7 linked regions of the Callithrix jacchus genome follow. The protein of the gene in region 1 interacts with the protein of each later gene in a pairwise test. Links are inferred from orthologs where the notes say so. Each region holds a gene or a part of one and is shown in the gene's direction. Other genes may lie near its edges.

Region 1 (3,500 bases):
AGTCTGGAGCTGCAACAGGAGGGAGGGAAAGGGTGGAAATTGAGGCCTGACTACCTTAGAGGGCCTGTGACTTTCCCTCTTCACCACCTGTGGGACAGGAACATTGAGAAGCTCAAATGCTTTAACCGTCTGCTATCAGCTGTGCTCCAGGGATACAAGGGCCGTTGTGAGGGCCTCAGCATGCAGCTGGGTCAGCGGGAGGCTGAGGCCACAGCATTGCATCTGGCCTTGCAGTACAGGTCAGTGCACCCTGCCAGTGATGTCACCAGCTGGGGAGGGAATGGGCTTTCTGAGGATGGTCCCAATCCACAGAGGGCAACAGGACCCTCACTGGAAAGCACCTTCCACTACTTCAGAAATTAATTTTGTTTTTGTCTGAGACAGAGTCTTGCTCTGTCACCCAGGCTGGAGTGCAGTGGCAAGATCTCAGCTCACTCCAACCTTTGCCTGCTGGGTTCAAATGATTCTCATGTCTCAGCCTCCTGAGTAGCTGGGATTACAGGCGAGCACCATCATGCCTGCTAATTTTTGTGTTTTTAGTAGAGATGGGGTTTCACCATGTTGACCAGGCTGGTCTCGAACTCCTGACCTCATGATCCACCCACCTCGGCCTCCCAAAGTGCTGGGATGACTGGTGTGAGCCACCACGACAAGCCCAGAAATTAATTTAAGGCAATTTTAGTTCAGGGGTGCTAAAGGAGTCTGCATGCTTCCAGAGGTGAGGGCAGTGGGGAGAAGAGAGAGATTCAAGAGCAAGTGGGGACTGGCACCTATAGGCTGAGATGGAGCTGAGTGTTCTTTTTTTTTTTTTTTTGAGATGGAGTCTTGCTCTGTCACCCAGGCTGGAGTGCAGTGGTGCGATCTTGGCTCGCTCCAGCCTCTGCCTCCGGGTTCAAGTGATTCTAGTGCCTCAGCCTCCTGAGGAGCTGGAACTACAAGTGTGCACCCCCGTACCTGGCTAATCTTTGTATTTTTAGTAGAGACAGGCTTTCACCATGTTGGCCAGGCTGGTCTTGAACTCCTGACTTCAGGTGATCCTCCCGCTCTGGCCTCCCAAAGTGCTGGGACTACAGGCGAGGGCCACTGCACCCAGCCGAGCTGAGTGTCCAAAAGTACTCAGAACCAGTGTCCTACAGTGAGCATTGTGAGGAGGCATACAGGGTCCTGCTTGCTCTGCGGGAGGCCGACTCAGGAGCAGGAGCCGAAGCCCCCATGGGTGACCTGCAGGCAGCTGAAAAGGAAGCATGGAGGCTGCTGGCACAAGAGGAGACCACCGTGGACGCAGGGGCACTGCAGAATCCACAGCCAAGGTACCCCCGGGGAACCCTGGGAACTAGGCTGGTTGATGAGTGGGATCTTGACGGGGGTATGGGGCTCCCACAGTCCACCACGTTTGGGGTCTTGGGGTGGCTGAGTCCAGCAAGGTCCGTATGGAACTCCCTGTGGTTGGCTGACAGGACACCCAGCTGCAGTTGGCCTGTTGCTACTTGGCAAGGTTGGCATGGTGGTTGACAGACATTGCAGTTGGCGTGAAGATGGATGATGATGCCTACTGGTTAGATCTGGGCAGAGTGGCTCATGCCCGTAATCCCAGCACTTCGGGAGGCCAAGGCAGGCAGATCCCTTGAGCTCAGGAGTTCAAGACCAGCCCTTGTAACATGGAGAAAGCTCTTCTCTACCAAAAGTACAAATAAATTAGCTGGGTGTGGTGGTGTGCCCGTGTAATCCCAGCTACTTGGGAGGCTGAGGTGGGAGGATGGCTTGAGTCTGGGAGGTGGAGGCTACAGTGAGCTGAGATTGCGCCACTGCAGTCCAACCTGGGAGACAGGGTGACACCCTATCTTTTTTTTATTTTTTTGAGACAGAGTCTCACTTTGTCACCAGGCGCCAGGCTGGAGTGCAGTGGAACAATCTCACTGCAACCTCCGCCTCCCGGGTTCAAGCAATTCTCCTGCCTCAGCCTCCCGAGTAGCTGGGACTACAGGCACATGCCACCACGCCCAGCTAATTTTCGTATTTTTAGTAGAGACGGGGTTTCACCATGTTGGCCAGGATGGTCTCGATCTCTTGACCTTGTGATCCACCCGCCTCAGCCTCCCAAAGTGCTGGGATTACAGGCTTGAGCTACTGTGCTCGGCCTCTTTTTTTTTTTTTTTTAAGATAGAGTTTCACTCTTGTTGCCCAGACTGGAGTGCAGTGGTGCGATCTCAGCTCACTGCAACCTCTGCCTCCTGTTCAAGCGATTCTCCTGCCTCAGCCTCCTGAGTAGCTGGGACTACAGGCGCCTGCCACCATGCTCGGCTAATTTTATATTTTTAGTAGAGACAGGGTTTCTCCATGTTGGTCAGGCCAGTCTTGAACTCCCAACCTCAGATGATCCACCCGCCTCAGCCTCCCAAAGTGCTGTGATTACAGGTGTGAGCCACCGCGCCCAGTGAGACCCTGTCTTGAAAAAATAAAGAAAGAACTGGCATGATGGTGCTTAGTAGGGTTGTCCTGGTCCTGCTGCGCAGGGTTGACAATCTAGGTGCTGGTGCCCATTGGGTTGGCGTGATGGTGTCCAGCAAGGTGGCATGAGCAGCGGTGTCTAGCGGGTTGTTGTAATGGAACCCACCATGTTTTCTTTCTTTCTTTCTTTTTCTTGTTTTTGAGACCGAGTTTTGTTCTTGTCACCCAGGCTGGAGTGCAGTGACACGATCTCGGCTGACTGCAACCTCCACCCCTCAGGTTCAAGTGATTCTTCTGCCTCAACCTCCCAAGTAGCTGGGATTGCAGGCGCCTGCCACCACGCCTGCCTGATTTTTGGATTTTTAGTAGAGACAGTGTTTCGCCATGTTGTCCAGGCTGGTCTCGAACTCCTGACCTCAGGTGATCCACCCGCCTCGGCCTCCCAAAGCGCTGAGATTACAGGCGTGAGCCACCGTGCCCGGCTCACCACGTTCTTTTTTGTTTGCTTGTTTCTTTTTTGAGACGGAGTTTCGCTCTTGTTACCCAGGCTGGAGTGCAATGGTGCGGTCTCGGCTCACCGCAACCTCCGCCTCCTGGGTTCAGGCAATTCTCCTGCCTCAGCCTCCTGAGTAGCTGGGATTACAGGCACGTGCCACCATGCCCAGCTAATTTTTGTATTTTTAATAGAGACGGGGTTTCACCTTGTTGGCCAGAATGGTCTCGATCTCTTAACCTTGTGATCCACCTGCCTCGGCCTCCCAAAGTGCTTATAGGCATGAGCCGCCGCGCCCGGCCTGCTTGTTTCTTTTTAACATTTTGTTGGAGACAGGGTCTTGCTCTGTCACCCAGGCTGCAATACAGTGGTGCCATCATAGCTCACTGCAGCCTCAAACTCCTGGTCTCATTCAGTCTCCTGCTTTCCGCCCCTCAAGTAGCTGAGACTGCAGGTATGTAACACCATGTCCAGCTATTTTTTTATTTTTATTAACACACATCCTCACTGAAGACCAGCTAATTTTTTATCAAGATGGATTCTCACTCTGTTGCGTAGG
Region 2 (3,949 bases), on another chromosome or scaffold:
ACTCTTTGTACAGCCAGAAACCCTTCAAATGATTAACTTTAACAAATGGGAGAAGCTCAGTGCTCCTCGACCCTGGCTACGCATTATATCACTTGGGGTCACTTAAAAAAATTCAGCCCAGGTGCAGTGGCTCATGCCTGGTCCTAGTGCTTTGGGAGGCTGAGGCCAGAGGATCTCCTGAGCCTAAGAGTTTGAGGCTGCAATGAGCAAGACTCTGTCTCTTAAAAAAAATTAGTTCCGCCAGGCGTGATGGCTCACGCCTAGAATCTCAGCGCTTTGGGAGACTGAGGCAGGTGGATCACGAGGTCAAGAGATCGAGACCATCCTGGTCTCGATCCAGGGTTTCACATGGTAAAACCCTGTCTCTACTAAAAATACAAAAATGAGCCGGGCATGGTGGCATTAGCCTGTAGTTCCAGCTACTCAGGAGGCTGAGGCAGGAGAATTTCTTGAACCCAGGAGGCGGAGGTTGCTGGGAGCTGAGATCGCGCCATTGCACTCCAGCCTGGGTAACAGGCTGGAAAAAAAAGATTAGTTCATCTAGATGAATTTTGGGTGCAGGTATATTTTCTCAAAAGCATACCAGGTGACAGGTATGTGAGAACAGCTTGAATTACCCTTGAGCCAGTTTAGAATGTTTTGTCAACATAGAATTTGTTGACATTTTCAGGTGTTTGACAACACTACATAAATAAACAAGCCTTTGATAAACTAACAAAACCTGTAGGACACTCTTCCTCGGACACTCTAGCCTCTGGATTGCCTTCTTGGGGTAATTCTTGGGATCTTTTGGGGTGCCATCAAGCCTCCTGCCTCGTGAGCTTTGCATGGTATGGCAGAATGATAGCTAATCACCCCTGTAATCCCAGCACCTGGAAAATATGACAGAAGTCTCGCTAGCTATCCAAGCCAGTCCAAATTTCAGCTTGACACCTAAGGACAGTTTTATTGAAGAATACAACTGCTGTTCCCGAGATAAATCTTAGAAAGCTTTGTCTTGAAAGGTTTTTCATGCAATTTGTCACAGGCTCTCATAATCCACAGGATGATACAGAGAGTAAAGATCAACACCACCATTAGCGCTGCCTCTCTTCCCCGCCCTCCGAATCCCACTCAGAGGTGTTCGAGCTGGTTTTCTGTGCCAGCTTCATTCCACATTTGGCCAAGACCGAGGACTCAGGCTTCAGCCTCTGGGGGTAAGGATTTCCACATTGTTATTTGCCATGCAAAATAGCAGTTCCTATTCATTTCTTCCAAATCTGCCTCTGTCAACACAGATGGCGCGCTACCCCGTACTGCTGGGACTGTGAGATTCGGCAACATTGTCTGTGTCCTGACTGTGCGGACCTTTGGCAGCCAAGCTATCACCATCCCCTGAAGGATGGATTTTGGTTTTTGTTTGCCTCCTGTGAAGGACCTTCTTTCTGCTAATCATTTGAATTACTCTCTCCTGGACCCCTTCCAGTCCTATCACGCCATCTGTAAATGGCAGAGAACAGAACGAGACACACATTATGGTGTCAATGTATAATAATTTGATACAAAGATGCGATTATGATGTTTTGTTTTGAGTATTGCTATCTGCACGTTCTTGGTTTTTTTGGTGGGATGGGGGTGGAGGTGGGAGAAGGAAGCTAGAAGCCAGAGCAGGCTGGACAGTGGATTTTATTTACAACTTTAAGGAATGGTTTTCAGGTTCATTAAATTGTTTTCCTTCAGCTGTTATTACCTTCCTCCTGCTCACACTGACACTCGGAGGGCAGGTGTCTGCCCTCCCACGCAGCTCGCTCACATCCTTCTGTAGCCTCCTCCCTGCCACTCTCAGCTCACTCACTACCTGGCACATGACCTTGGCGATTCCACCACGCATCTCTTCCCCAGATCATTTATCACTATGGTAATTAAGACTTGGATGTTCAGACTGTGGAATGAAAATAGAACAGGTTCTAGCACAGATTTTAAAAAATATTTTTCTTCCTGCCTCCAAAAAAGTACATGTTCATTTAAGACAGTTTGAAAATACAAACAAATGCAAAGAAAATTAAAATAATTCTTAATCCTATTACCCAGAGATAACTTCTTCAAATATTTTGGTTTATATTCATCCAGTCTTATTCAAGGAACACAGTAAACACACACTTTTTCCCTTTATCTTTGATAAATATTATATTTGATATATTCAAAGAATATATGTAACATTACACTCCCCCCACAAGAATCAAAACATTATAAACAATGGCAGTAATTGTCATTTACCTAAGTGCACCCCTTAGTCTCCCACTTCCTCTCATGGGGTGGGAGTATCATTCCCTTGCCTTATTTTTTTTCCCCTTGCCTTATTAAAGTAATTTTAGAAATTGTTTGTGTTTATTTGATTTTCAGCTTTGTAAAAATGGTAACATGCTATGAGTCATATGTTTCCTGCTTTTTTCACGAAGAAAAATGTTGGTTCAATTTATCCATGCTGTGTTATGCAAATGTTCTTTTATTTTTGCTGCTGTTTAATATTTCCACTGTGGAGATATACACATTTATACATTCATTTTTCTCTTGCTGGCCATTTGGATTGTTTTCATAAGTCTCAAGAACAGGCTGGGAGTGGTGGCTCATGCCTGTAATCCCAGCACTTTGGGAGGCTAAGGCAGGCAGATTGCCTGAGCTCATGAGTTCGAGACCAGCCTGGGCAACATGGTGAAACCCTGTCTCTATGACATACAAAAATTAGTTGGGCGTGCTCATGCACGCTTGTGATCCCAGCTACCCTGGATGCTGAGGCATGAGAATTGCTTGAACCTGGGAGGCAGAGGTTGCAGTGAGCCAAGATTATGCCACTTCACTCCAGCCTGGGTGACAGAGCGAGACTCTGCCTCCAAAAAAAAAAAGTACTAAGGACAGTGCAGTGATTGCACATTCCCCTTGGTGCATGCATGAAGAGTATCTTTGGGGTTGAATAGCTGGATATAAGGTAGGTAGAATTTCAACCTGTTAAATATTGGCAAAATGGTTGTACCAATTTATACTCTCACCATTACTGTATAGGAGTTTCCAATTGATTAGCCTTTTTTCCAACATTTGGAATTGTGAAACTTTAAAACTTGCCATGCTAGTAGGTGTACAACGTTGTAGTATTAATTTGCATTTTCCTGAATGCGAATGAAATGGAGGATCTTTTTCTATGTTTATTGACCATGTGTTTTCTCTTCCATAGAATGCTTGCTCCTTTTTCTATTGTGTTGTCTCCCACATTTTTTTTACTTTGAGTCAGAGTCTTGCTCTGTTGCCCAGGCTGGAGTGCCATGATGGATCTCAGCTCACCGCAACCTCCGCCTTTGGGTTTCAAGCAATTCTCCTACCTCAGCCTCCCAAGTAGCTGGGACTACAGGCATGCACCACCACGCCCAGCTAATTCTTAGCTTTTTTTTTGTATTTTTAGTAGAAACAGGGTTTTACCATGTTGGCCAGGCTGCTGTGGAACTCCTGACCTCAGGTGATTCAACTGACTCAGCCTCCCAAATTGCTGGGATTACAGGCATGAGCCACGATGCCTGGTCTCTCAAACATATTTTAAACAAAATTTGAGCCATACTACATATACCATTTTATATCATCTAAAACGTTCTTTTACAGTGTTATTTTAGTGATTTGGGACTCTTCTATCTCATAATTTAATCAGAGCTCTGTAAGTATTTTTTTAAATTTTGGTTTTGAGAAATAACTCTGGTAAGATATTCTATTGCATACATTTAATTACACATAACTGAATGTTTTAATAAAATAAGTTCTAAGAATTGAGATTTCTGAGCCTGGGAAACATGGTGAAACCCTGTCTCTACAAAAAAATACAAAAATTAGCTGGGCATAGAGGCATGTACCTGTAGTCTCAGCTGCTCGGGAGGCTCAGGTGGGAAGATTACCTGAGCCTGGGGAGGTCCAGGTTGCAGTGAGATAT
Region 3 (3,500 bases), on another chromosome or scaffold:
AAATGATTCTCTACCTGGCAGGGGAGGAGATCTTTTCTGAGAGAGAAAGAGTGACAGAGAGAGAGAGGAGAGAGAGTGAGGGGTCATCATGTACAAGAGTCATGGAGATGGAAATGTGCAAGGCGTCATCATCAGAATGGCAGGATGTCCACGGAGTTAGAGAGGCCAGGGTGTGCTGGAGAGATGATGTCTGGAGTTGAACCTCAAAAGAAAATTGGGGCCAGATTGTGAGGAGCTTCATACGTTATTATTTGGAGGTTGAGTTTTTCTTCTTTGGCCTCGGAAAATTAATGGATTTTTTTTTTCAAAAGGTGGACTATTGTGATGCTTTGTAAAAATGGCTCTCATGGTTTAGAAGGAACATTTTAGTATAGTCTTTAGGGTTAGGGTTTTGGAATCAAGAGGTGGGTACAAACCCTATCTCCTTCATCTGCCAGCTGTGTGATCCTGAACTGTGCTCTGATGCTCTTTGTGCCTGGGCTTGCTCATCTTCCCATTGAGATCGTGATACCCACTTTTCAGGTATGTTGCGAGGATTAAATGAGACTCACATTACTTGGCATCAAGTATTCCTGAAATCAATAGTAATAATATCTCTTTTCTGACTCTTGGACTTGAGAGTCCTTCAGGATTTTGAAACCATTTTAGTTGTAGTGACTTCTGTGGAGCCCTTTTGGAAACTACTAGAAGTTTCCTGGGACCAGCTTGCTTTTGGCACCCACAGTGGGAGGGGTCCATGACTGAGGGTAGGGTGTCATGCTTTGTTCACCTCACCGAACTTTAGTCATATAGTGACTTTATTGAAGATACTGCGGTAATGCAAAAACACTTACTTTTTAGGAGTTTTTATTTAGGAGTTAGAAATGGAGTCAATATATCTTCAAAAGCACTTTGGGACGTGTTTAACTCAAGGTCTTGCAGAAGTGGCAAAAGTTCACCCAGCGGATCCAATAGAATATTTGGCATTGTGGATTTACAAGTTTAAGGAAAATGTGACCATGGAACAACTGGTAAGTAGGAATCTCCTTCTAGGAAATTAGAAGCGAAAAATAACTGGTCCAACTTGTCTGCTTCTTAAAAAGTTTAATATTTTTATTTTTCTGTTATAAAAATAATGTTTATTATATGAAAACTCGAACAACATGAAAAGTAGGAAGGAGAAAACAGTACCCAAAGAAGCCTTCTATTTAGATTTTTAGGTAATTCCTTTCATGGGAAGTCTTTTTCTATAGATTTATAGATTTATGTTTATGTACTTGTGATAATACACAATGTGTGGCTGGGCGCGGTGGCTCACGCCTGTAATCCCAGCACTTTGGGAGGCCGAGGCGGGTGGATCACAAGGTCGAGAGATCGAGACCATCCTGGTCAACATGGTGAAACCCCGTCTCTACTAAAAATACAAAAAATTAGCTGGGCATGGTGGTGCGTGCCTGTGATCCCAGCTACTCGGGAGGCTGAGGCAGGAGAATTGCCTGAAACCAGGAGGTGGAGGTTGCAGTGAGCCAATCGCACCATTGCACTCCAGCCTGGGTAACAAGAGCGAAACTCCATCTCAAAAAAAAAAAAAAAAATACACAATGTGTAACTTTAATGTTGTGCTCATTATTCAGATAAAATATTTTCCCAAATTATTATTTAGTTTCAAAAGGGATGGGCTATAATTTGCTTAACCCTTTCCCTAATTGTCCCTATTAAGTGCTTTCAAGATTGCTTTTCTCTCTAAGAAGTCACGTGCTGTTGTTTTTAAACAATGCTAGAGACAAAAGGAAATGGCTGAGCTGGAGTGTGAAAGAGAATTAGCTCTGATGGAGCAGGAAATGATGGAGAGGCTCAAAGCAGAGGAGCTCTTATTTCAGCAGGTGAGGCAAGTAGGAGAGTTCAGAGGGGAGTGGAATTACGATGCCAACCTCAGCATGTCACAACCCAAATGCTGATAAACTTCCCAGCTCCAGTTACTTAAATATGGCTTCCTAATATCTTTATCTTTATGGATGTGTGTGTCTTCTTTGCTGGAGAAGTAGCAGCCCTGAGTTTTTCTGACTGTATTCATGTATACACACATACACATTCCTTTCCACACTGCTGTTGCTGATACAAAAGATGGCATACCTCCAGGTAAGAAGAGAATACAGAGAATGCACTGTCACAGAAGGCAAAGAGAAAGAGTGTTTTTGTGACATCTGAGTGGTCAACCATATCTATTGCTGAATGGGAAAGTGTTCATTACAGGCCACTGTAATTTGGCAGGAACAGTGTGAATGGAGTGGTTGGGGTGGGTGGAGTTAGGCAGGGGAGATGAAACATGTAGGCAATGCTTTCAAGGAGATTTTGAGAGCAAGGAGGGATGTTTTTGTGTTTGTTTTGATTTAAGAGCACAGTAGTGGAGTGAGTGGGTGACATTAGGAAATAGAGTGGATGATTCGTAGGGTCAGCTTGTCATGGAGATGAGAGGAAATGGGGCCTGGAACATAGATTAGGCAGGCAGAAGGCACTTCTTTGATTATAATTGAGGGAAAGAGGAGAGAATGGTGTTGGTGGAAGCATCTTCTATGTACAGCTGTTTCTATCTTCTTTATGAAGTAGGCACCGTGATCATCTGCTAAGAATGAGGTTGTAAGGTAGGAGGTGTGGACAGAGTGGTAAAGGTTAGAAATGGCAGCTTTGGAGAATGAGAGTTGAGGGATAAAATTTAGCAGTGGGCAGGCATGGTGGCTCATGCCTGTAATCCCAGCACTTTGGGAGGCTGAGAGGGATCACGAGGTCAGGAGTTCGAGACCAGCCTGACCAACATAGTGAAACCCATCTCTATTAAAAATACAAAATCCAAAATTAGGGTGTGGCAGCCCTCTCCTGTAGTCCCAGCTACTAGGGAAGCTGAGGCAGGAGGATTGCTTGAACTCGGGAGGTGGAGGTTGCAGTGAGCTGAGATTGCACCACTGCACTCCAGCCTGGCAACCAGACAAGACTTCAGCTCAAAAAACAAACAAAAAACCAAAAAGAAATTTGGCATTACTTGGTGGCAGTTGGAGACCAAGCACTGATAATCATGCCATTTGGTTTGATTATGTGATTATGTGATTCTTTTCATTTAGGCCCAGATGTCTGAGTGAAGAAGTGGAAGCAGGCAGACCTTTTGAGTGAAGCAGGATTGGGGTAGTGTGATTAGGGAGCTGAAGATATTGGTTAGGGAATTGCTGAAGGAACGGTTCGTGTAGTACAGGCTGGAGAGAGGAAAGTTCCAGAGTGGCTTATAGACTGATTTAATTTATAGAGAGCTTCTAAGTGAAATTTAAGCCACTTCTATAGTTCTACCAGATAATACTTAACTCCAGAGTCTTAACTCAAATTTACATATTTAAAAAGGGGAAAGAAGCCTATTGTTTGCGTATGTGGGTAAAAAGAAAAATACAGACTTGGCAAATAGCTTCTCTAACTTCCTATTCCTGATATTGAGGTAGAAAACTGCAGGCACCTTAGAAGGATAGGGCTGTTGAAAA
Region 4 (2,994 bases), on another chromosome or scaffold:
GAAGCATCAGAGCTGAGGCATGGAGAACGGGAGCGAATCTTCCACAAGCAAGAGTTCAATAAGGAGCTGAAGTCGTTACTGAGCCAGCTGGAGTCCCTCGACCTGCCTGGCTACTGTCCACTCCGTGAGCCCCACCGCACGCTGAACTTCCTGGCTGAGCACCGCCTCTTCCCCGCCCTGCAGAGCGTGGTCAGTCGGGCTACGGACAAGCTCCGTGGTGCCTGCTGCTGTGACGGCCACCCTCTGTTCCCCACCAGCTTGGAGCCCACCTCAGAGCTGCCCGGACAGGGCAATCTGCAGCCTCCAGGCTCTGAGCCGGCCAATCCCAGCAACACGGGACAGCCCCATGCTTCCCCCCATCCCACAGCCTCCAGCCCCAAGCTGCGTCACAGAAAACACAAGGACAGAGGAGGCTATCCCTCCATGTCTAGCGCCCAGGTGGCCACCAGATTCAAGCTCAAGATGACACCCATGGAGAAGCCCAGTGTCCCCAGTTCCTCACTCCACTCCAGGAAAGAGGTGCCTGACTCAGATCCCAAATTACAAAACCCACCTGTTTCCCTGAGCTCCAGCCGGAGGGCCAAGCCCTGGCAGGGCCTGCACCTCACTCTGCCTGCCCCCGGAATTGTGGTGGAGGTGGATTGCAGCCAGGGCCACCTCAGGGGCCCTGTCACACCTCCGCTTGCCTTCCCCATCCCCACTCTTCCTGCTCCTTTCCCCCCAAGCTCTCCTCAGTTGCCTCCTCATCTCCCGCCTCAGTGTCTGGAGGTGACCTCCTCGAAAGTAGGACCAGGCATGAGTTTGCAGAAGGGTTCCCTGGCCCACCACTCCTAGCAGCCACTGTCACTGGCACTGGCAGGTATTCAAGATCTCTTGCCCGGCACTGTGGAAATCTCCCGGGCAGGGACCAAGCTGATGGGAGCCCAGGAATCCTGGCCTAGCTGCTACCAGGTGTTATCACAGATGAATAAAGGCCATTTTTTATGCTGGGTATTTTTCTAATGTTTGTTTATGAATCTCAGAGACCCTCCTACTTGGAGGTGAAGGGCCCTGTCTCTTCTGGACAGCTGCCCTAGCCGGGCCAGGGCCTTGCCTCCGAGGTCTAGCTCCCTCGAATCCAGCTGCCTTGAGCAGGACTCTCCAGTCGCTGTAGTTTGCCGAGGGGAAGTTGCCCACGGAGGATGTGTACAAGACGTGGGTGGCCTCACCCTGGTGGGTCTCTAGCATAGTCCCTCAACTCTTTCCTAAGCCATCAAGGCCCCTGCAGGCTTCTCTCTGAGCACAGGCCTGGGCGGGAGCCTGCTGGAACCCGGTTGTCAAGGCTCAGATTAGGCTCACCCTGTGACAGGTCCCTGCCCTTGCCCCAGGCCCAACAGGTGTAGGAGGTGTGATAGTGAGGTGAGCAGAGTGGGCAGCTGAGTGCGACGGCATAGCAGATGTGGCAAGGCTGTACCCTTCGTGTAACAAGTTTGTTTGTCACACCAAGTATGCCCAATCATGTTTGTGATGGGTAGGGTTGGCAGGGCTCAGAGGAGGGCACGTGGTTGGGAGGGATGTCACTGGATGGCAGGAGGGATGGGGCCCCCAGGTGTGACATGTGTCCTTTTCCCTCCCCGGCTGCTATGCAGAGCCCCAGCAGCAGCAGGTTCACAAAGAAGAAGCTACTGCCCTCCATCTCGTCAAAGTCCAGCATGTCCCACTTCTCCAACTGCTCTTACGAGGAGCTCGTTGACTTCCTCACCCAGCAGGCAGCCTCCCTGATCATCCGAAAGTATGAGTTTGAAAAGGACCTCAATAAGCAGCTGGGCTTCTTCTCCTTCCCCGTCACCCAAGTGCTCAGGGACCTTTCCCTGGGCTTAAAGAAGGTGAAAGGCTCCCATAACCACCAGTCCTCGGAGATCCATCTGAGCTGCCTGCTGCGTAAGCTGGAGGAGGCCAAAAGGGCCCAGCAGGACTTCTTGCTCAGCACCTTCCACCGCAGCCCAGAGACGCCCTCTGTGCTGCAGGAGCTGGCCACCCACACCGTCCAGGACCAGACCACAGAGCCCTGCCACTCTCTTTACACCGACTTGCCAGCCAGCCAACAGCTCAGCCCATTGGAGCCCAGGCTCTCAGTGTCTGCCCACACCGGCATGGGTTCCAGTCCCCCCAGGTCCAAGGACATGGACAGTGAGGGCCATGATAAGGTCGAGCTTGAAGATGAAAATGAGGATGAGGATGAGGAGCAGGATGAGGACAGGGATGAGAGTGGAGTCCAGAGCCTCCCAGAGCCTGGAGAGGAGGCCTCGGTCAGCCACCCTGTGGACCTGGGCCACAGTGACCCATCTTGAGGTCCCCACTGGCCACTTGATTCCTTGCTCTGTCAGAGTTGCTGCTCATCACACCAGCCCCTGGGCTGAATGCCCACAAGGAGCTCTGCTGAGACTCTCAGGGGAGCCAGTGAAAGATATAGCAATATAGCCTGTGTTGCTGAGACACAGGTTTCTTGTCCTGAGATTTCAGCCTCCATTTCATTTATTTGTTTGTTTACCTATTTTTTTTTTTTTTTTTGAGACGGAGTTTCGCTGTTGTTACCCAGGCTGGAGTACAACGGTGAGATCTCCGCTCACCGCAACCTCTGCCTCCTGGGTTCAAGCAATTCTCCTGCCTCAGCCTCCTGAGTAGCTGGGACTATAGGCACGCGCCACCATGCCCAGCTAATTTTTGTATTTTTAGTAGAGATGGGGTTTCACCTTGTTGACCAGGATGGTCTCGATCTCTTGACCTTGTGATCCACCCACCTCGGCCTCCCAAAGTGCTGGGATTATAGGCATGAGCCACTGTGCCCGGCTTGTTTACCTATTTTTAAGAGGAAGTGTTGGCCAGGCTCATGCCTGTAATCCCAACACTTTGAGAGGCTGATGTGGGCAGATCACTCGAGGCCAGGAGTTGGAGACCAGCCTGGGCAATATGATGAAACCCCGTCTCTACTAAATACAAAAATTAGCCAGGTAT
Region 5 (3,500 bases), on another chromosome or scaffold:
AGAGGACATCTTTGATGAATTATTTAAGCTGGCTCCGGAGAAAGTGAATGCAGTGAAAGAGGTAGGAGAGATCAAACCTCTCAGCAGCTCTCAGGCCGCCCACCCCACCCACTGCCCACCTGCGCTGTAGGAGGGAATCACGGGTCCTTGTGCCACACCTGCGGCATGCTAGGCCCTTGTTCTTCCTTGGTTAGGCCATCGTGAACTTTGTCAACCAGAAGCTGGACCGCCTGGGCCTGTCTGTGCAGAATCTGGACACCCAGGTAGGGACTCAGTGGTGGCATCTCCAGGCAGGGCAGGGCCACTGACCCTAGGAAGGAAAGGGTCTGTGCACCCCAGGAACCCGCTGTGTGGTGGTGGGGGTTGCATCGCCTCTTGGAGCCTCAGGTTCCCCCTCCTCAGTGTGACTGCTGCTGGCAGGCAGCACTGGCCACCAGGGACACAGCAGGATCCCGGGGGCGGGGGCGTGGGAACACTTCACCAAGCTGGAGTCACCTCGGCTGTCACTGCTTCTCATTGTTATAATTTTATTTCATAATTAATCTTAGCCTAGCCCATGCCCAGACTTGAAGCACATGAGTCTTCCCTGCGTGGTTGTGTTCGCCCAAACAGAATTTATTAGGTTTGTGCCATGTGCCAGGCGTAGGTGACAACGCAGCCCCACTGTCTGCAGGCTCTGCATCTCTCATGAGCACCCTGAGGAGCCCAGCCCTCCCCTGGCTGCCTTAGGCTGAATCGTCCCAGGAGCAGGAGCAGGAGCAGGAGCAGAATACTGGGGGTCAGCACTGACCGTGGGCTGTGGCTTTCCACAATGGCACTGTGCCTGCAATGCAAGGGATGGGGGCAGACGAGCAGAGTGGCTAACTGCCAGCCTGGCACCTGCAGAGTGGGCATGGAGTCTGCTGGATGCCAGTGGCCTCAATGGGACATGACGTAGGCATCTAGCCACCTGGCTTCTGCTAGGTGCTGGGGCCTGGGGCGGGGAGGGAGTCTGGTCCCAGATGGACCAACTGGCTCATGAAAAAAGTAGCCAGAGCTGCTGACCTTTCAGAGAGGCTCTGGATGGGCATCGGCTGGGGAGGAATGGGGCGATGTACTCCCACTCCCAGTAGCTAAAAGCAATAAAGCCCTTACTAGATGCCAGTCCCCCAGCAAAATGCTTCCTATATTAACTCATTGAATTCTTCCCCAAATCCCCTGAAGTGGGAACTGTATTACCTCACTTACAAAGGAGGATGTTAAGGCACAGAGGGGATAATTAACTTGTCTAAGATCACACAGTGATATGTAGTGGATCTGGGATTTGAACCCAGGCAGCTGGGGCCAGAGTTTGTGCTTATAACCACCTCACATGTGGCCACGTAAGAAGTTTATGTGTTATATGGTATGGCAGCATGGCAGGGTGGAAATACCAGGCTTTGAAGCCAGACAGACACACATTTCCCTCCTGCCTCCACCAGTGATGGTCCCTGGGCTCTGCTGACACCCCTCCACGTTTGCTGTGTGACCTTGGGTGAGTTACTGGTCTTCTCTGAACCTCAGGCTCCTCTTATAAAGTGGGTACAAGATGACAACCTCATAGAATTATAGGTGGTACATGAGCCAGTGAGCCTCATATGTTTGGTCTATTACTTGGCACGCTGCCAGCATGAAATAAATGAGAGATTTGCAGTTTTATATTTTATGTGGGTATAAACAGGATGATTTCTGAGATTTACATATTACCTATTCCATCTTTATCTCTCCCTTGGTAAAATAACGGCTTTGGATACTCATGGCATGTGCCAAGTTGGTATTTAGAGACTGTTCAATAAAGCAGGGGAAGGAAGTCCCTTGCATTCCCGTTGTATTACCGAGGAATAATGGCAGAAAAGATTTCAGGCCCAAACTAATAACATTGAAACAGTAATAGGAGGAAATTCCATTAAGGGCTTTGAATGGCGGTTTCTTCCAATATCCCATCCTGTGTTTTGTATCTTTGAAGAGACTCAATAGGATTATATTAGCATATGATATGCTGGTGGTAGGGACGACAGCTTTATCTCAGAACAGACAGAAATATTAATATGGCAACTGGCAAGATGGGCCCCGTGTGCCGCTCTCTGCCTTTCCCTGATGGAATAATTTTACGCATAACTCTGTTTTCCCATGTTTCTGTAGCTTGTGGAACAGCGTGGTGTTTAAAAACTGGTATGAGGCTATTCTATAGCAAGTTTAGGAAACACTCTTTTTACTGAGCAAACACTATGTACCAGGCAGCCTGAAATCGCATTTTACTTGCAACCCTGTGAGGCCAGGAAAGTCTTCCCCACTTCTCACCAAGGAACCAGAGGCTCAGAGAAGTTGTGTGATTTCCTTAGGACCACACAGCCTGTAAAAGACAGAGTGGACCTCCCCAGGCTTCTTCCATGTGATGGTCTCCCGTTCCTTCCTTTGTAGTTTGCAGATGGGGTCATCTTACTCTTGTTGATTGGACAACTTGAAGGCTTCTTCCTGCACTTAAAGGAATTCTACCTCACACCCAACTCTCCTGCAGAAATGGTAAGTTCTCCAAAGATTCTTGATTGTCTACCTCTGGGTGAACAGATAAACAGAAATGACATGACACGTGTGTTTATTCAGTTCCAGGTGAAGTGAAGGTGTAGGGGAAGCTTGTTTAGCTATGTCTACCTGTCCATCCATCCATCCACCCATTCACCTATGCATCCATCCATCATCTACTATCTATTCATTCCCATCTGCCCATCTACCTATTATCACTTCTGTTCACCTACCAAGCTACACCCGCCATCTATGCACCCATCCATCTACCTGCCCCCCCGTTCATCCACCTACCTGCCTGTCCATGCACCTGTTTTCCTGTGTGTTTATTCATCTACCTAGTCCATCCATCTATCCATCCATCCATCCATCCATCCATCCATCCATCCATCCATCCACCCATTCACCTATCCATCCACCAACATACCTATCCATCCACCCACTCATCCATCCATCCATCCACCTATATACCTATCCATCCATCCACCCACCCATCCATCTACCCATCCACCTATCCATTTATCTATCCATCCAGCCACCCACCCACCCACCTGTCCATCTACCTGCCTGCCTGTCTACCCACACATAGGAAGTTTGTTTATGTATATGTCTTTCTGGCCATCCATCCATTCATCCATCCACTTGCCTACCTGTCCATTCACCTGCTTCCCCATTCATGCATCCATATGGCTGTGCTCCAGTCCATCTTCCCATTCTGTTGATTTATGCACCCAATCCATCCATACACCTGCCTGCCCATCTACCCACCTGCTTATCTACCCATCTCCTACCCACACATCTGTTCCCTCATTCCCTGAAGGCCTGCTTAGTGCCAGCCCCAAGCTGCACGGGACATTAAGATGATTCAACGCAGCTCCTCATTTCAGGGACCTCTTCATCTATGCTCACTGTTCTCCCAGTGACGTGTGCTCTTGCAGGACCACAGTGAAATGTGTTGG
Region 6 (3,500 bases), on another chromosome or scaffold:
CTGGATGTTAACTTTATGTTTTTTACTTTTTTTAAAAAAAGTACCATTCAAAACTTACAACTAGGGCTGGGCAAGGTGGCTCATGCCTGTAATCCCAGCACTTTAGGAGGCTGAGGTGGGTGGATCATTTGAGGTCAGGAGTTCAAGTTGAGCCTAGTCAACATGGTGAAACCCCATCTCTACTAAAAAATACAAAAATAGCCAGGTGGTAGTGGCATGTGCCTACAATCCCAGCTACTCAAGAGGCTGAGGCAGGAGAATTGCTTGAGCCTGGGAGGTAGAGGTTGTAGTGTGCCGAGATCACACCACTGCACTTAGTCTGGGCAATAGAGTAAGACCCTGTCTCAAAAACAAAACAAAAAAAAACCTTACAACTAATTATCAGTTCTATTAAAGGGTATTTTTCTCTTTTGAGACTTTGCCTGGCTGGATGCAGTGTCTCATACCTGTAATCCCAGCACTCTAGGAGGCTGAAGTGGGCAGATTGCTTGAGCCCAGGAGGTGGAGCCTGCAGTGAGCCATGATGGTGCTACTGCACTCCAGCCTGGGCAATAGAGAAAGACCCTGTCTCAAAAAAAAAAACTTTGAAAGACGGCCTGATTTGGGACAAGATGTGGGTGGCTTGTGACCCAGAATGGAGAGCAGATGCTAGGAAGGGTTGACAGGTAGATATGGCAGGTCTGCAAGGAAGGGCAGGGCCTGGCAACCACACCTCTATCGCTCTGTGTCTCCTTAGATTTCATGAACGTCTACTACCAGATACGCTCCAGCCAGCTGGACCGCTCCATCAAGGGCCTGAAGGAGCATTTCCATAAGAGCAGTTCTTCCTCTGGGGTTCCCTACTCCCCTGCTATCCCCAACAAGAGGAAAGACACACCTACCAAGAAGCCAGTCAAGCGGCCAGGTGAGCCCCCATCTGCCACACCCAGAGGCTGACTGGGGCCTGCACTGCTTTTGTCCAGTCTAGCATTCGCAGCATCAGATTCCTCCAGAATTTGTTGTCATGGTAACCCCGACTATAGGTACACAGGACAGAAAGCAAGTGTCTTCCCACCCAGTGAGGCCCCCCAAGAGTGAGGCTCTTCCTTCCAGCTGGCAGAGCCTGGGGGTTACACAGCTTCTTTGTAGTGGGGGGCTTACAGGTCCTCAGTTAATCCCATCTGAGACAGGCTGCAGAGGCCTCCAGGGCAGAGCCCCTGCCTGGACCCCCTCCCTCACACACACATCGTCCTGTCAGGAGGCCTGGCACACTGCTGCAGCCAGAAAGGATGCTGGGATAGCAAGGGGACAGGCGCTCTAACCTTCACCTTCCAGAAAAGCAGGGTGACCTGAAGTGACGTTTAGCTGAGAGCTGGATGGGGAGAATTTCACTTTCCCGGTCAATCCAGAAAGGAAAGAAACCCCAGAGCATCCTCTCAGAAGAACTTAAACTGGCTTTGGGCTCCAGTGTGAGTCAGGCCTTGTGGAAAGGGGCACCACGATGAGAGGCCTGGGCAGAGCTGTCGCTGTCCTGGGTGAACATCTCATCATCTCTCTGTTCTTTCTCACTGGCATCATGTCTCTTGTAGTCTGTGCTCCAGGTAAATAGCGTCTCTGTGAGCCACAGCTTGGCAAGCCTGGTCTTGCCACTGAGAGATGCTTCCTGCAGCTTGAGGAGATGCTGGGAAGTTCCAGTGGGGACTTGGTTATTCGGTGGGACTGAGATTGCTCTGGGAGAGAAAGCCAGAGATGCTGGGGCTGCTCCCACCCAGGCTGGCCCCCTGCCCAGCTGCTGCTGCAGGCACCTGCCCTAGTTGCTGTGGGACTTGCTTCTTGTGACAACAGGCTTTGGGTAGAGCTTACTTACACCCTCGGTTTCTCCGGTTCCTACCTGCCCCACCCCTCAGAGAGCACCTGCTCCCCTGCAGGCCTTTGTTTAGGGTTTGGAGAAACGGGCAGAACAGGGGCTGCTCTCAGAGGCACAAGTGAGTAGAGCATTAGGGAGCTGGGGCCTGGGGCCTTCTCCCTCCAGTGTGGATATCCTGCCCACCTAGACAAAACCTGCTGCCAACAGGGACTGCCAGTCCAGCCTTTGGGCTCAGCTGGCCGAATGGCGGCCAGGGCATTTCTGTGTCTTCTGTGTGGCGTGGGGCAGCTGTCTCCATAAGGCTGCGAGGGTGCTTGGGCCCCAGCTAGTCTGCACTGGCTTCCTCTTCTGCCTGGTTCTGTGACTGGCCCCTGGGAGGCCCCAGAGCCCTATATGCACTGCCCTAAGAGTGCCCGCTGGCCATGCAGCAGGGATCTGATCTCAGGGAGCTCACAGTGGATGACATCGATCCTTGCCCCAGAGACACAAGAGGAAACCTCTCCGGCTGTGGGGGTCTGTGGGGTTTCAAGAGTTGTCAGGAACTGGTGGGCTCAGGACTAATGTCAGGCTCTAGGGAATCAAGCCCCAGGGACTTCTAAGGAAAGGGGCAGGGGTGCCTCCCAGGTAAAGCACCAACCTCGGCATCCCTGGAGGTAATTGGGTGCCTGATGGGTTTGGTGCCTACCAGATCCACATACTGACCCACATCCTCCCCGGTGTGCATCTGCCTCTGCTCCTGGTGGGTTGTGGGACAGGATTCAGATTCACTCTTTAGTGAGCCGTGCTTGCTGAAGGGGAGAGAATGAGCAAGGCAGATGTGAGCCAGGCCATGGGACTTGGTTATTAGGAGCTAATTGTGAGCCGGGTATGGTGGCTCATGCCTGTAATCCCAATACTTTGGGAGGCTGAGGCAGGCGGATCACCTGAGGTCAGGAGTTCGAGACCAGCCTGGCCAACATGGTGAAACTCCATCTCTATTAAAAATAGAAAAAAAAAATGAGCCGGGCATGGTGGCACATGCCTGTAATTCCAGCTACTCAGGAGGCTGAGGCAGGAGAATAGTTTGAACCCGGGAGGCAGAGGTTGCAGTGAGCTGAGATCGAGCCACTGCACTCCAGCCTGGGTGACAGGACGAGACTCTGTCTCAGAAAAAGAAAAAAAAGAGTTAATTGTGGTGTGATGTGGTGTGGCGCGGTGCGGTGCAGGTGCAAGCAATGAGCCTCCACACACTGCCCCTTCCTCCCTCAGCTTTCTGAGGAGCTGCCAGGACGCAGCATCCTCACTGTGCTCAGATAGGCAATGGGGGGGCGGGGGCGTCTTGGGTGCCTTTCTTCTCCCATACATTTTGTTAACAAGGCAGCTGCACTGGTCTGTTTGAGACGGGAGTTGATTTCTCCACGTCTTTGGCCCTGAGATGTCTCATTCCCACAGAGGAGGCTGACCCAGGCAGCTGTGGGCACTGCCGTTTTTGTTCTGATTGTTTTCACGTGTGATATTAACTTTTGTTTTTTTCCCCCATGCCAAGAGCATGTACCTTCTCCTTCCAAGTGCACCCTCCAGGCTCTCTGTGTGGTGGCTTCTGTTAACCCTTCTTGGCTTTCGGATTTTTTCCTGTGTCTTTGGTGGTTTGGGGAACTCTGGTGTGTGGGCTAGG
Region 7 (3,500 bases), on another chromosome or scaffold:
CAGTGAGCAGAGATCCAGGAGGTAGCTGATCCCAGCTGGGTCCGTCCCTCCCTAACCAAGAACACCTCTCATCCTCTCCTACAGCCCCTGCTCCCAGAGTCCCTGGCCCTGAGCCTGCTGCCAGGCACAGAATACCAGAAGCAGCTCCTGGCAGCACAGGTGAAGCTTCAGAGCAGCACCGCAGAGCTCCAGGCTGCGCTGCTGCAGAGCCAAGCCCGGCTGGCAGAGCTGGAGGCCCAGGTGAGTGGCAGCGGGGTTGCTGGCATTGGGGGCAAAGTTGTGACGGGAGGGGTCACCGAGAGACTGAGAGTATCGGGAAGCATCCCCAGGAGGAAGGAGGGGCTGTTGGCACAGGGCAGCGTAGAGCACAGCCACCTCCCCTCCCTAATCGCTGGCCCTCCTGCCGTCTCCCAGGTGCGGAAGCTGGAGCTGGAACGGGCCCAGCGTGAGCTGCTGCTGGGGAGTCTGCAGCAGCAAAACCAGGCAGACCTGGAGCTCATCGAGAATGCACACAGGTACCCCAGCACCAGCCCCAGCTCTGCCTTGACTCTCTCGCTGACCTCAAAGGCCACCCCAGTGTGCTTGGAGAGGCCTTTAGGTGGCAGCCCTCTACCTTCCTCATGCCATGGCTGGGTGTACTGTTGGCAGAAGCCACATCAAGGTGCTAGAAATATCGTACCAGCAGCGGGAGGAGCGTCTCCGGAGAGAGAACGAGGAGCTGTCAGCTCGGTATCTGTCGCACTGCCAGGAGGCCGAGCAGGCCCGTGCTGAGCTCACCGCCCAGTACCAGCGGCGCTTGGCAGCTGCAGCACAGGAGAAGGACCAGGAAATGGAGCGGCTCCGGGAGCTGCAGCGGTGAGGCCCAGGGACAGGCAGTTGGGGATGGGCTTGCAAGGACTGGCCAGAAGGCAGCCATCCTCACGAGACCCTCTGCTGTGGCTCAGCAGCCCTTGGACAGGGATTTGAGCCCTTCCCTCCCAGCCCAATGAGTGAGGACTGAGGGCTGGGCAGACTGACCCATTACACACATGGGTGGAGTGCCACCTGCTCTTACAGAGGCAGGATGCGGTATCCACAGGCTGTCCACGCACCGCATGGCAGCAGCAAGCCCCCCAGGGCCTAACTAAGCACAGGGTAATCCACTCACCAGCTCACGCAGTAGAGGCTAGAGATGAGGTCTGCCTGGGAAAGGCTTGCACTGTTGTGCCTGCCATGTTGATAGGGTTGCCTTTATAGAAGAGAAGGAAGCTAAGAAGTTATCTAAGGGAGTCAGAGGTCTCACTCTGTCACCCAGACTGGAGCACAGTAGCACGATCTCGGCTCACTGCAAACTATGCCTCCTGGGTTAAAGCAATTCTCCTGCCTCAGCCCCCAAAGTAGCTGGGACTACAGGCGCCCACCACCATGCCTGGCTAATTTTTGTATTTTTAGGTGAGATGGGGTTTCACCATGTTGGCCAGGCTGGTCTTGAACTCCTGAGCTCATGATCTGCCCACCTCAGCCTCCCAAAGTACTGGGTTTACAGGCATGAGCTGCCACCATGCCTGACTCAGAGCTCAGGGCCAGGCACAGTGGCTCACACCTGTAATAATCAGCACTTTGGGAGGCCAAGATGGGAGGATCACTTGAGGCCAGGAGTTTGAGACCAGCCTGGGCAACACAACGAGACCTTGTATCTAAAAACAGTTTTTAAATTAGCTGGGCATGATCGTGACTTGGGAGGTTGAGGTGGAAGATACCTTGGGCCCAAGACGTCAGGCTGCAGTGAGCTTTGATTATGCCGCTGCACTCCAGCTGGGACCACAGAACAAAACCCTGTCTCTAAAAGAATTAAAAAAAAAAAAAAAAAAAAAAAACTACTTTGGGAGGCGAAGGCAGGAGGATTGCTTGAGGCTAGGAGTTCAAGACCAGCCTGGGCAATATAGCGAGATCTCATGTCTACAAAAAGGAAAAAAGAAAAGAAAGAAAGACAGCTCAGGTTGGCCAGACTCAAAAGAAGTGCACACATGGCTCTATGTAAAGTGCTCTTTGCTGAATAACTGGAGTAATCTCCATCTTAGTGCATGTAGCATTGAGGCACCATGACAGATAAGACAGAGGAGCTGGGGAAACTGAGGCAGTGCCCAGAGGAAGAGAGGCCTGGGAGCAAGGGCTGCTTCGAAGCATGCCCTTCCACAAGGAGCTGCTGTGTCTGGGTGGTCCTGCTCAGATTGGCTGTGGGCCTTCCCCTTCCACTTCCCCACAGGGCATCCATCCTGGAGATGCGCAGAGACCACGAGGAGCAGCTGCAGCGGCTGAAGCTGCTGAAAGACCGAGAGGTCGATGCGGCCACCAGCACCACCTCCCACACATGGTATGTGTGCTGCCCCAACTGTGCCCGCCTAAGGGTGGGGGCTGGGGGGTCCCGAGGCTTTCAGGAGGTGGTGACCCAGCCTCCTTTCAGGTCCCTGAATAGCATCATCCACCAGATGGAGAAGTTCTCCAGCAGCCTGCAGGAGCTGTCCTACCGCATGGAGGCCTCACATCTCACCAACTCCCAGGAGCGGGAGCTGGGGATCCGGCAGCGGGACGAGCAGCTGCGGGGTACGCCCTCCCTCTCAGACCCCCAGACCCCTGGTGGGAAGAGGAGCAGTTGCCAGCACCCTGTGGGTTGTCCCCAGCACTGCAGGAGCGGCTGGGCCAGCAGCAGCGGGACATGGAGGAGGAGCGGAGCTGGCAGCAGGAGGTCATCGGGAAGATGGAGGCGCGGCTGAGTGAGCAGAGCCAGCTGCTGGAGCAGGTGAGGCCCATCCTCCTGGCCCTCCTGCCATGGGGCCTCTCCTCCAGGGCACCCGCAGGTGTGGCGACACTCTCCTGACCTCACCTCCTCAGAGGTCAGCGCCGGGGCTTGACTCTCCTGTGGGCATCCTCCCTGCTACTTCCTGCCTCTGCGTCTCCCTGTCCCGGCCAGGCCCTCAGCATTGCCCACCTGAGCACACAGGCGCCACCTGGCCAGGCCCCCACTACGCTCTGCCTGCTCCTCACCACCGCAAGTCCCTCAGCCACCCTGGCCTTGCTCCACAGTCTAAACCCTGCAACCATCAGCTGCACTCAGAGCTGTCCCCTTACCCAAGCCCTGTGACATTCGGACAGATGCTCTTGCCTGTTAAATGTTATCCTAGCCTCTTCAGCTCTAACAGACATTTGAACTCCCTAAATACCTTTCATATATAAGCACACACTTTAATTAAATAATAATAACCTCATCCAGGCATGGTGGCCTGTGCCTGTAATCGCAGCTACTTGGGGAGCTGAGGCAGGAGGATCACTTAAGTCCAAGAATTTGAGACCAGCTTAAGCAACATAGTGAGAGCCCATCTCTTTTTTTTTTTTTTTTGAGAGAAGGAAAGAAAAGAAAAAAAAATAAGTAAAGGAGAGGAAGAGAAAGAGGGAGAGTAAATGGAAATATTGCTTTATTTTGAAAAAAATTGGGTATTAATAATGGCCAATCAATGTTTCAT

What was found.
Region 2: the proteins of USHBP1 (region 1) and DTNB interact in binary tests that used the Homo sapiens proteins (3 or more experiments, as listed by UniProt). The two-hybrid records come from large-scale screens. The link is inferred for Callithrix jacchus from reciprocal best matches to the Homo sapiens genes USHBP1 and DTNB.
Region 3: the proteins of USHBP1 (region 1) and DYDC1 interact in binary tests that used the Homo sapiens proteins (3 or more experiments, as listed by UniProt). The two-hybrid records come from large-scale screens. The link is inferred for Callithrix jacchus from reciprocal best matches to the Homo sapiens genes USHBP1 and DYDC1.
Region 4: the proteins of USHBP1 (region 1) and CCDC116 interact in binary tests that used the Homo sapiens proteins (3 or more experiments, as listed by UniProt). The two-hybrid records come from large-scale screens. The link is inferred for Callithrix jacchus from reciprocal best matches to the Homo sapiens genes USHBP1 and CCDC116.
Region 5: the proteins of USHBP1 (region 1) and PARVG interact in binary tests that used the Homo sapiens proteins (3 or more experiments, as listed by UniProt). The two-hybrid records come from large-scale screens. The link is inferred for Callithrix jacchus from reciprocal best matches to the Homo sapiens genes USHBP1 and PARVG.
Region 6: the proteins of USHBP1 (region 1) and EXOC7 interact in binary tests that used the Homo sapiens proteins (3 or more experiments, as listed by UniProt). The two-hybrid records come from large-scale screens. The link is inferred for Callithrix jacchus from reciprocal best matches to the Homo sapiens genes USHBP1 and EXOC7.
Region 7: the proteins of USHBP1 (region 1) and FBF1 interact in binary tests that used the Homo sapiens proteins (3 or more experiments, as listed by UniProt). The two-hybrid records come from large-scale screens. The link is inferred for Callithrix jacchus from reciprocal best matches to the Homo sapiens genes USHBP1 and FBF1.

What each region holds. Positions count from the first base shown.
Region 1 is NC_133523.1:15,857,803-15,861,302, reverse strand, and holds part of USHBP1 (harmonin-binding protein USHBP1), read left to right. Parts: intron 1-98; coding exon 99-239; intron 240-1,136; coding exon 1,137-1,310; intron 1,311-3,500.
Region 2 is NC_133515.1:89,527,609-89,531,557, forward strand, and holds the start of DTNB (dystrobrevin beta), read left to right. Parts: upstream 1-1,149; 5' UTR 1,150-1,196; intron 1,197-3,949.
Region 3 is NC_133513.1:50,199,197-50,202,696, forward strand, and holds part of DYDC1 (DPY30 domain-containing protein 1), read left to right. Parts: intron 1-437; exon of another isoform or gene 438-522; intron 523-840; 5' UTR 841-863; coding exon 864-1,010; intron 1,011-1,760; coding exon 1,761-1,862; intron 1,863-3,500. UniProt on the Homo sapiens protein: Functions as part of axonemal radial spoke complexes that play an important part in the motility of sperm and cilia. Plays a crucial role during acrosome biogenesis.
Region 4 is NC_133502.1:193,600,867-193,603,860, forward strand, and holds the end of CCDC116 (coiled-coil domain-containing protein 116), read left to right. Parts: coding exon 1-519; intron 520-1,628; coding exon 1,629-2,330; 3' UTR 2,331-2,494; downstream 2,495-2,994.
Region 5 is NC_133502.1:187,594,974-187,598,473, reverse strand, and holds part of PARVG (gamma-parvin), read left to right. Parts: intron 1-2; coding exon 3-61; intron 62-194; coding exon 195-263; intron 264-2,439; coding exon 2,440-2,541; intron 2,542-3,500. UniProt on the Homo sapiens protein: Plays a role with ILK in promoting the cell adhesion and spreading of leukocytes.
Region 6 is NC_133506.1:131,998,421-132,001,920, reverse strand, and holds part of EXOC7 (exocyst complex component 7), read left to right. Parts: intron 1-736; coding exon 737-904; intron 905-3,500. UniProt on the Homo sapiens protein: Component of the exocyst complex involved in the docking of exocytic vesicles with fusion sites on the plasma membrane.
Region 7 is NC_133506.1:131,811,507-131,815,006, reverse strand, and holds part of FBF1 (fas-binding factor 1), read left to right. Parts: intron 1-84; coding exon 85-240; intron 241-414; coding exon 415-515; intron 516-648; coding exon 649-855; intron 856-2,245; coding exon 2,246-2,353; intron 2,354-2,443; coding exon 2,444-2,583; intron 2,584-2,660; coding exon 2,661-2,779; intron 2,780-3,500. UniProt on the Homo sapiens protein: Keratin-binding protein required for epithelial cell polarization. Involved in apical junction complex (AJC) assembly via its interaction with PARD3. Required for ciliogenesis.